Ovis aries: one gene and its partner. The protein of the gene in region 2 interacts with the protein of the main gene of each other region in a biochemical or structural test. Links are inferred from orthologs where the notes say so. Each region holds a gene or a part of one and is shown on either strand. Other genes may lie near its edges. The genes, in order: BCL11A and NR2F1.

Region 1 (3,806 bases), on a different chromosome or scaffold from region 2:
TTTGAAGCATACAAATAATTTGCACTATATTATCCTGCCAAATTAAAAAAATATACTGTGGCAGCCTGTCTTTTTTTTTTTTTCCACTACCAAAAAAGGTACATTGATACCTTTTAAGAGAACAAGCAACAGTTAAAAATACAAGCTTCAATATAAATACTATAGTGCCTAACACTAGATGAACATTTAATTCAAATACCATTCTAGAAATACAGAAAAAAGACCATAAATGTGTTTTAGCATAGGAATCAACATGAGTGTGCATTTTCCTATATTTAAGTACTATATAATCTTAAACCTTTCCCCAATGTATGTTTCTTTTTTTTACAACCTGAAGAGCGGTGTGTATCCAAGGCATAGAATTTCCACTACCATTTTTAAATGGATAACAAGTCTTGTAACACCACCAAGACAATGGAACCCTAAAATGCAGTTCCCCCCTAAACATAATGAAGTGTTTTTTTAAAAAATTTTTTTCTTAACATTTATATTTAAAAAAGTTTTGTACAAAAAAATCCTTGCACTGTAGAAGCGAAAGCAATCATTCATCTCTATGGTAAGTGTATTCTGTTTTCCATTCACAGCGCTTGCAATGTTGAGTCCGAGTAAGTAAGCTCATTAGTCAAGTAAATGGCTGGCAAAGTTTTTTTTTTTTAGTTTTTTTTTTTAAAAAATGCTCATCAATGAGATTGTGTTCAAATTATTTTTTTCAGCATTTTGCAACTTTTCCCTTAAGCATAGACCTGTAAACTGGGAAAATTGTACAGTGCACTTAATTGTCCTATCTGAGCAGGTTTATTTTATACTCAACCTCTGTATCTCTGATTAGAGAAAAGATACAGATATTACAGGCAGAGTCAAGTGCTATTTGAACACCAACTCGGGCAGATGCTAGCTTAATAAAAAAAAGAAAAGAAAAGAAAAAATTAAAAAAATAAAATAAAAACAATGAATCCTCTTCCATGTTAACACAAATAGCACACAGTGTATGGAAAAGAAATGAAGTACAACTTTTAGGGAGCACAGACATATATCCTGCTACTCTTAAAATTCTTTTTCTTCTTTTTTAAGAATGTCACATTTAAACACAAGTCTTAAGAATTCATAGTTAATCATCATTGTATCAATATTAGCTTATACACCTGTTCTAGTTTAAAATGGCAAAGAGTACCATGTTGTGCTAATAAATCACATATTTTTCCCCCTCTGTTACCCTCTGTCAAACCTTATCGTCAGTCTCTTCTTTTTAACATGCTATTCGAGGTCCTAACATTTATTGTTCGATTGTCCATTTGACAACCAAGTAGGTCTGGATCTATTTCTTCTGACGCCAGAATTTTTCTTCAAAAGACATTATTTAAAACAAGTTATCTTCATAAAATGACTTCCTTACTAATGTATTTAATCATGTTTCTGGGCCTTTGCACGTTGCACATTCAATTTAATCATCAGTTAAAAAAAATAAAACTTTGGGCAAAAGAGCCCATTTCTTTTAAGCTCTCACCAGGAGCAAAATAGCTTTTATACTGGTATAATCAGTTTTGCTTACAAGATTAAACGAAAGGGAAAATGATGATTAACTAGGACAACGGGTCATATTTTTAGGTAGCCATTGTTGTGAGAAATACAATATAGAATTATACTCTAGGTCCTAAGGTTTATTACCTCACCCAATGCTGATTTAAGCTACAAGTTTATAACAAGTAGAAAGAACCATCAACGTGGTTGTAATAGATCCAAGGCACTCATATTTTAAAACCAAATGATAGAATAAACTTTTTTTCTGTTAGTTTGTCAATTAAAGGCCTTTTCTTCCTCTCCAATTGATAATATTTAACCCTTTAGAGACAGACATTTACCGTGTAGAGATTTTCTTTCAGTGCCATCTATTCTGTCTATAGAGGGTTAATCCAAAGACTGTTTTTCCTCCTCACGTTATAAAAGAAAACTGTACATGATATGTATTACAGAATGTATGCAGCATGGTCTTTTTCTCTCTCTCTCTCTTTTTCTCTCAGAACGGAACTGGAAACAGCAACGGTGTTTTCTCAGCAACGAATCGGGGACAATTTAAAATAGCCGTAACATACCATACATGCTGTCTAAGTTTAAAAAAGAAAAAAACAAAAAAAAACATACACAACATGTAAATTATTGCACAAGAGAAAGGCTCAAAGTTTGCGTAAAATGCAATAGTATTGCCCCATACAGATCATGCATTCAAACGGTGAGAACATAAAGGAAAAAAAGAAAAAGAAAAAAAGAAAAAGAAAAAGAAAAAAAAACAGGTGTGCTGGTGACAAGCACTCTCATTTTCTTAGCTTCCGTTACTTCTGTTTGTTTGTTTGTTTAAATCACATGGGACTAGAAAAAAATCCTACAGGTTGTGGGGCTGGAGGGCGATGGGGAAGGGGGGGCGGGGAATGGTGAAAAAAGGAGGTGGCAGGCGGGAGTGAGGGAGGGGATATTCATATACCTCTATTCAGTTTTTATATCATTATTCAACACTCGATCACTGTGCCATTTTTTCATGTGTTTCTCCAGAGTACTGTACACGCTAAAAGGCATCTTACAAATTTCACATTTGTAAACGTCCTTCCCCACCTGGCCATGCGTTTTCATGTGCCTGGTGAGCTTGCTACTCTGGGCACAGGCATAGTTGCACAGCTCGCATTTATAAGGCCTTTCGCCCGTGTGGCTTCTCCTGTGGACAGTGAGATTGCTACAGTTCTTGAAGACTTTCCCACAGTACTCACAAGTGTCGCTGCGTCTGCCCTCTTTTGAGCTGGGCCTGCCCGGGCCCGGACCACTAATATGGGGCGTGCTCCCTCCACTTCCCGTGCCGCTGCGCCCCGAGATCCCTCCGTCCAGCTCCCCGGGCGGCGTGGAGAAGCGCAAGCTCCCGTTCTCCGAGGAGTGCTCCGACGAGGAGGCGAAAGGCGATTGTCTGGAGTCTCCGAAGCTCAGGAAGGGATCTTTGAGCTGCCTGGAGGCTGCGTAGCCGGCTAGCCACTGCGAGTACACGTTCTCCGTGTTGGGCATCGCGGCGGGAGGCAGGTCGAACTCCTTCTCGAGCTTGATGCGCTTGGAGAAGGGGCTCAGCGAGCTGGGGCTGCCCAGCAGCAGCTTTTTGGACAGACCCCCCGAGGCCGACTCACCCGGGGAGCAGCCGCGGCCGTTAACAGTGCCATCGTCTATGCGGTCCGACTCGCCGGCCACCGAGTCTTCGTCGCAAGTGTCCCTGTGGCCCTCGGCCTCGGCCAGGTGGCCGCGCTTATGCTTCTCGCCCAGGACCTGGTGGAAGGCCTCGCTGAAGTGCTGCATGGAGCTGAGCACCATGCCCTGCATGACGTCCGGCAGGGGGCGGCCCTCGTCGCCCACGCCCACCACCGCGCCCCGCGAGCTGTTCTCATGGTGGCGCGCTGCCTCCAGGCTCAGCCCGAAACCGTAGTCCACCCTCTCGCTCTCCGTCAGCTCCTCCTCCTCCTCTTCCTCCTCTTCCTCCTCTTCCTCGTCGTCCTCCTCGTCCTCCTCGTCCCCGTTCTCCGGGATCAGGTTGGGGTCGTTCTCGCTCTTGAACTTGGCCACCACGGACTTGAGCGCGCTGCTGGCGCTGCCCACCAGGTCGCTGGTGCCCGGTTCCGGGGAGCTGGCGGTGGAGAGGCCGTCGTCCGACTTGACCGTCATGGGGGACGACTTGTGCATGTGCGTCTTCATGTGGCGCTTCAGCTTGCTGGCCTGCGTGCACGCGTGGTCGCACAGGTTGCACTTGTAGGGCTTCTCGCCCGTGTGGCTGCGCCGGTGCA
Region 2 (4,432 bases):
TTCTGCTTCTTCTGCTATAACACACAGAGCTAGTTAAAAAAACCCTGGAGATCGCCCAAAAATGTTCTTTTTTTAGTATTTTAAATAAGTGCTCTTCAGCCGGGAACCAACACCCTCCCTCCAAAAAAAATCATATATGTATAAAATAACGATAAGAAGAATACGAAAGGGGTGCCTCCTCCTCCTCTCTCTCTCTCTCTCTCTCTTTTTTTTTAAGTTTAGCCCTCACTCTTCTGCAGGAATGGAGTAAAAGAGAGGAGGAGGGAGAAAAAGGAGAAAAAGAAGAATACGGGGAAACAACTAATAGAATATGTAAGAAAAGAGAAAGGGGAGAGAGGAGAGAGAAAGAGAGATTGAGAGAGAGAGAGAGGCGGAGGAGAGAGAGAGAGGAGAGAGAGAGAGAGAGAAGAGAGAGAGACCCCAAAATTGAATGCGTTTAAACGGGAGGACTCGCAGAGCAGTGTTTCCGAAAGGGGGATCTGTGCGAATGTCTGTATATAGTGAACTTTGACACTACTATTGAAACTGACACGTTTCTATGGAGATCGCTGCCTTATATGGAGCTCGTGTCAAGGAGCCAAGAGAAGGGCTGCTGGCAACTGATAATCAAAGGCGACTGACTGGTCAGAGCCCTGAATCGGGGGGAGAGAAAATGGGAGGCTAAGGTTAGCCAAGCCTCCTGCACGCCATTGGTTGGAGAGCCCCTCCCCCCTCCTCTTTTTCTTTCTTTCTTTTTTTTTTCTTTCCCCTCCCTCTCAGCTACCTACTGACGGGGATGGCGAGGGGAGGAGGAAAGAAAGTGTGTGTGTGGGGGGGTGTGCTTCTGACAAGCGCAATTTACATTGAGATCGCCCTGCGCTGCTATTTACTCTGAGACCTGATTAGTATGGGTCGTCTATGGTCACACACACACACACACACACGCACACACACACACATACACCAACACCAGAGGGGGAAGGGACGGCGAGGGGAAGAATGCCTTGCAATGGGTAAAAAAAGAGAATCAGGCATTATTTTGTTTTCTTCTGAAAAGTTTTTAAATTTAGCTTTTATGAGCATGAAGACGATCATTGGAAATGTTAGGAAAATTTTAAATGGGAATTAAAACTCTTACCGTTCTAACGAGTCCTGAAAAATATTCTGGGTTTGTATTGTTTTGTGTTTTCACATACAAGCACAGCCCTAGAGTAGATTCTGCTCATTTTATATTCCTTTAAGAAACAAAGTAGGGACTTGCTGGCTTTTTTTCTCCCCCACCTTGATCCAACGTATATTTTGGTTTTAAAATGAAAGGTTCAATTATGACAAAAAGCACTCCTGGAATTCGCAGAAATTGCCCCCCAAATCAGTCCGAATCAATGGTTCCTCTTCATCCCAAAGGTGATGTTTAAAATAAACTCCCCCCCCCCCGATTTTTCCTTTTTTTCCTTCCCCTTTTTGATATCCTCAGGCTGTTTTAACCTCCAAAGAACGCTCCAATAATTGTTAATAAAAGAGTAGTAAGTTCTCATATTGCTGCGGGGGGGGGGGGCGGTCAGTGCGGGCCGAGTCCGAGTCCCAGGAAAAGGGGGAAAAGGGTGAGAGAGAAGGGATGAAGATGGGGAAGGGAGGTGGGGATGAGGAGGGTGGGGGGGGCGAGAGAGGGAAGAAAGGACGGGGAGAGAGAGAGAGAGATAGGGGAAGAGGGAGGGGGCAGAGAGAGGGAAAGAGGGGAGAGACCCCCGGTTCCCAAAGGCGATTGGTCGCCAGAGGAGGCCCGGGCGGGAGGAGCGGGTCCCGCCGCGAGGCCTGCAGGAATCGCTGGCTCCGGCTGCCACCTAGCGGACGGGAGCCGCGTCCCGGAGACGCGCGGTCGGGTCCCCTCCTCCTCCCCGCCTCCTCCTCCCGGCACGCAGCCCTGTGCCTTTTCTGCAAACCAAGACACAGCACTTTGAAAATTCTTTCAATGGATTTTTTTTTTTCCCTCCTCCTTCTTCCTTGAAAGATCGTACTGAGGGAAAATGATACTTCTATTAGTTACATATTCTCCAATCGCACACTCGCATCTTTCCCCCCCACCCCACCACCTCCTCGTTCTGCGATCGCTCCCCTAGGCAGGCTCAGGCGGGCGCGCAGCGGCGCCGAGTGACAAAGCCGCCGCCCGCAGCCGCCGGGGGGTGCGGAGCTGCGCGCCTGCCTGCCGCCCCTCGACTCTGGAGAGCGTCAAAGTTGTCTCAGCTCCAGCACCCCCGAGCCTCCACACGCCCTCAGGTGAAGGTGGGAGTAAAAAAAAAGGCCACGCTGTTATTGCCGGAGGTAGGGTTTGTGTGTTTTAATACTCGTTCTCCCTTTAAATGTCATCAGGGAGGGGGTTTGGGGGAAGCGCTGCCCCTTCGGGGTGCGTTTTGCGCTTCCCGGTCTCTCTCCAGTCCTACTGAGAGTCAGGAACCTGGCGACCGCTTAGTGTCGAGCGACGATGCGAAAGAGCAGAATAAAGGCTTTCCTGTGTCTTGCCCCCCCGCCCCGCTGCCCCGCAGCCCCTCCAGTTCGAATAATGAAGGGACACAGTCCATGCACTCTGCAAGCAGCCGCCCCATTGTACGCTTCAGGGGAGGCGACGGGGGGCCAGCGAGAGCTCCTTGCCCTTTCTCGTCTCCCCAAATAATCGCGCCGAAGTCTCCTGGTCAGTTAAAAGGTGAAACGAGAACACGATTAAAAGAACAAAAAAAAAAAAAAAAAAAAAAGGAAGGAAAGAGGAAAAAAAAGAAGGAAAGAAGGAAGCAAAAGAATGAGTTTTCTCATATGAATTCTAAATGTTCCTACTCATAGAGTACAAAGGCAGGCAGTCGAGGGCAGAGGAAGCAGGCAGAGAGGGAGACCGGGAGAAGGAAAAGAGAACTTGGAAAGAGACGGAGCGAGTGCAAGAGGCAGCGCGAAGCGAGCGCCAGGGAACCGGAGGCTCCCCGCGCCTGGACGCCCTGCTCTCGGGCCCGGCCGCCCTCGGACCCAGGACCGGAAGTCTTGGGCGCCAGAAGCCAGAGCCGGCCCATCTCTGCCGCACCAGGCAAGTAAGGCGATGATTATCGTTTCTTTTGAACTCGGGGTGGTTGTTGCAACGCGGACAGGCCGGGAGGCAGCGATTGCTCGCACGGGTTCCGCAGGCCGGGGGGCGGGGGCGGTGCCCTCGGTCTAGCCAGAGGGGAGGGTCGAGAAGAACTTATCGCGGGGGGGCCTGCTCCGGAGCCGCCCTCCCCCCGGCCTCTGTCCCGCGGCGGCGTGGAGAACAGGGATCGCTGCCCGCGGGGCCGCCCCGGAGCTGAGGATCGCGCCCCACCGAGCATCGGCCCAGATTCAAAACTGATTGCCCTCCCATCTCCATTTGCCACCCTCCTCCCCACCAGCGGGAAGAGGCTGCGGAGCCTCTTGGAGGAGGGGGGGCAGACGGAGGGTCCACAGGTTGGGCAATCCGCGCCGCCGCCCCTCAACCCCCGCCCGCCCCAAACCCCCTTGGCGGGTGCCAAGCCGGAGCCGCTGTGGAGTCGGCTCGTAGCCCGCGCCTTGCCCGGCTGCAGCCAGGCCCGGGTGAGCTCGGCTCCCGCTGCCCACCTGCGGACGCCGTTTGCAACGGGATCCCCCTAATGTAACGCGATCGATGGCTGACTGTTTGATGTGGGTGAGAGCGTCAGCGGATTAAAAGGGACCCCCAAGCCGCTCTCCCGAGCGGAGAACCCGCGGCGGCGGCGGCGGCGAGAGAGCCCGAGATCTGCAGCCAGCCCAGCAACCAGGGGACGGGGCCGGGGGCGGGGGCGGGGGCGGGGGCGGGGAGGGGTCACTTCCCCCGGGGGTGAGGACTGAGCCCGAGTGCATGAAAGGAAGAGCCGCAATTAAAACCGACCAGCGAGCTCTCCGCGCAGGGCAGGGGCGCGCGTTTGCGTCAGAGGGCGCGCAGGGCGGGCGCGAGGGGGCGGGAGGAGCCGACGCCGGGGGCCGCGCCCGAGGGCTGGGTGGGCGCGGGAAGGAGCCCGCGGAGCTGCCTTGGCCTTCCCTTGGCCGGGCGGGCTAGGGGCTAAGGCGGGGCTGGAGGACGAGCGGCGGCTCCCCGAGAGCCGTGGGGGCCCATACACCCTCTCTAAGGGGCTTCTTCCTGCCGGCCCCCCTACCCTGAGCTTCCAAACTTGGAAGAGGCCCAGGGGGGATCCGGCGTGCCCCGGGGGTGCTGGGAAAGAAGTGGAGGCCTCGAGAGGCTTCAGGCGAAGCCTCCTGCCTCTCCGGAAGGAAGGGAGGGAGGGGTGCGCCCCCGCCGCCCCCGGCCCCCCCCCCCCACGGCGGCCTCAGTTACGGAAAGGGGGTCGGGCGGCTGTTGGAGATGGTGCTCTGAGCCGTGGAAACTCTCGGGTTTTCAAAGGAGGGGAACAGATCCCGCTCCTGCAGGGCATATGAGAAGGGGCAA

Evidence for each region.
Region 1: the proteins of NR2F1 (region 2) and BCL11A form a complex in vitro, tested with the Homo sapiens proteins (2 studies listed by BioGRID). The link is inferred for Ovis aries from reciprocal best matches to the Homo sapiens genes NR2F1 and BCL11A.

Annotation. Positions count from the first base shown.
Region 1 is NC_056056.1:63,542,263-63,546,068, reverse strand, and holds part of BCL11A (B-cell lymphoma/leukemia 11A), read right to left. Parts: coding exon 2,479-3,806; 3' UTR 1-2,478. UniProt on the Homo sapiens protein: Transcription factor. Associated with the BAF SWI/SNF chromatin remodeling complex. Binds to the 5'-TGACCA-3' sequence motif in regulatory regions of target genes, including a distal promoter of the HBG1 hemoglobin subunit gamma-1 gene.
Region 2 is NC_056058.1:90,688,273-90,692,704, reverse strand, and holds the start of NR2F1 (COUP transcription factor 1), read right to left. Parts: upstream 3,005-4,432; 5' UTR 1-3,004. UniProt on the Homo sapiens protein: Coup (chicken ovalbumin upstream promoter) transcription factor binds to the ovalbumin promoter and, in conjunction with another protein (S300-II) stimulates initiation of transcription. Binds to both direct repeats and palindromes of the 5'-AGGTCA-3' motif.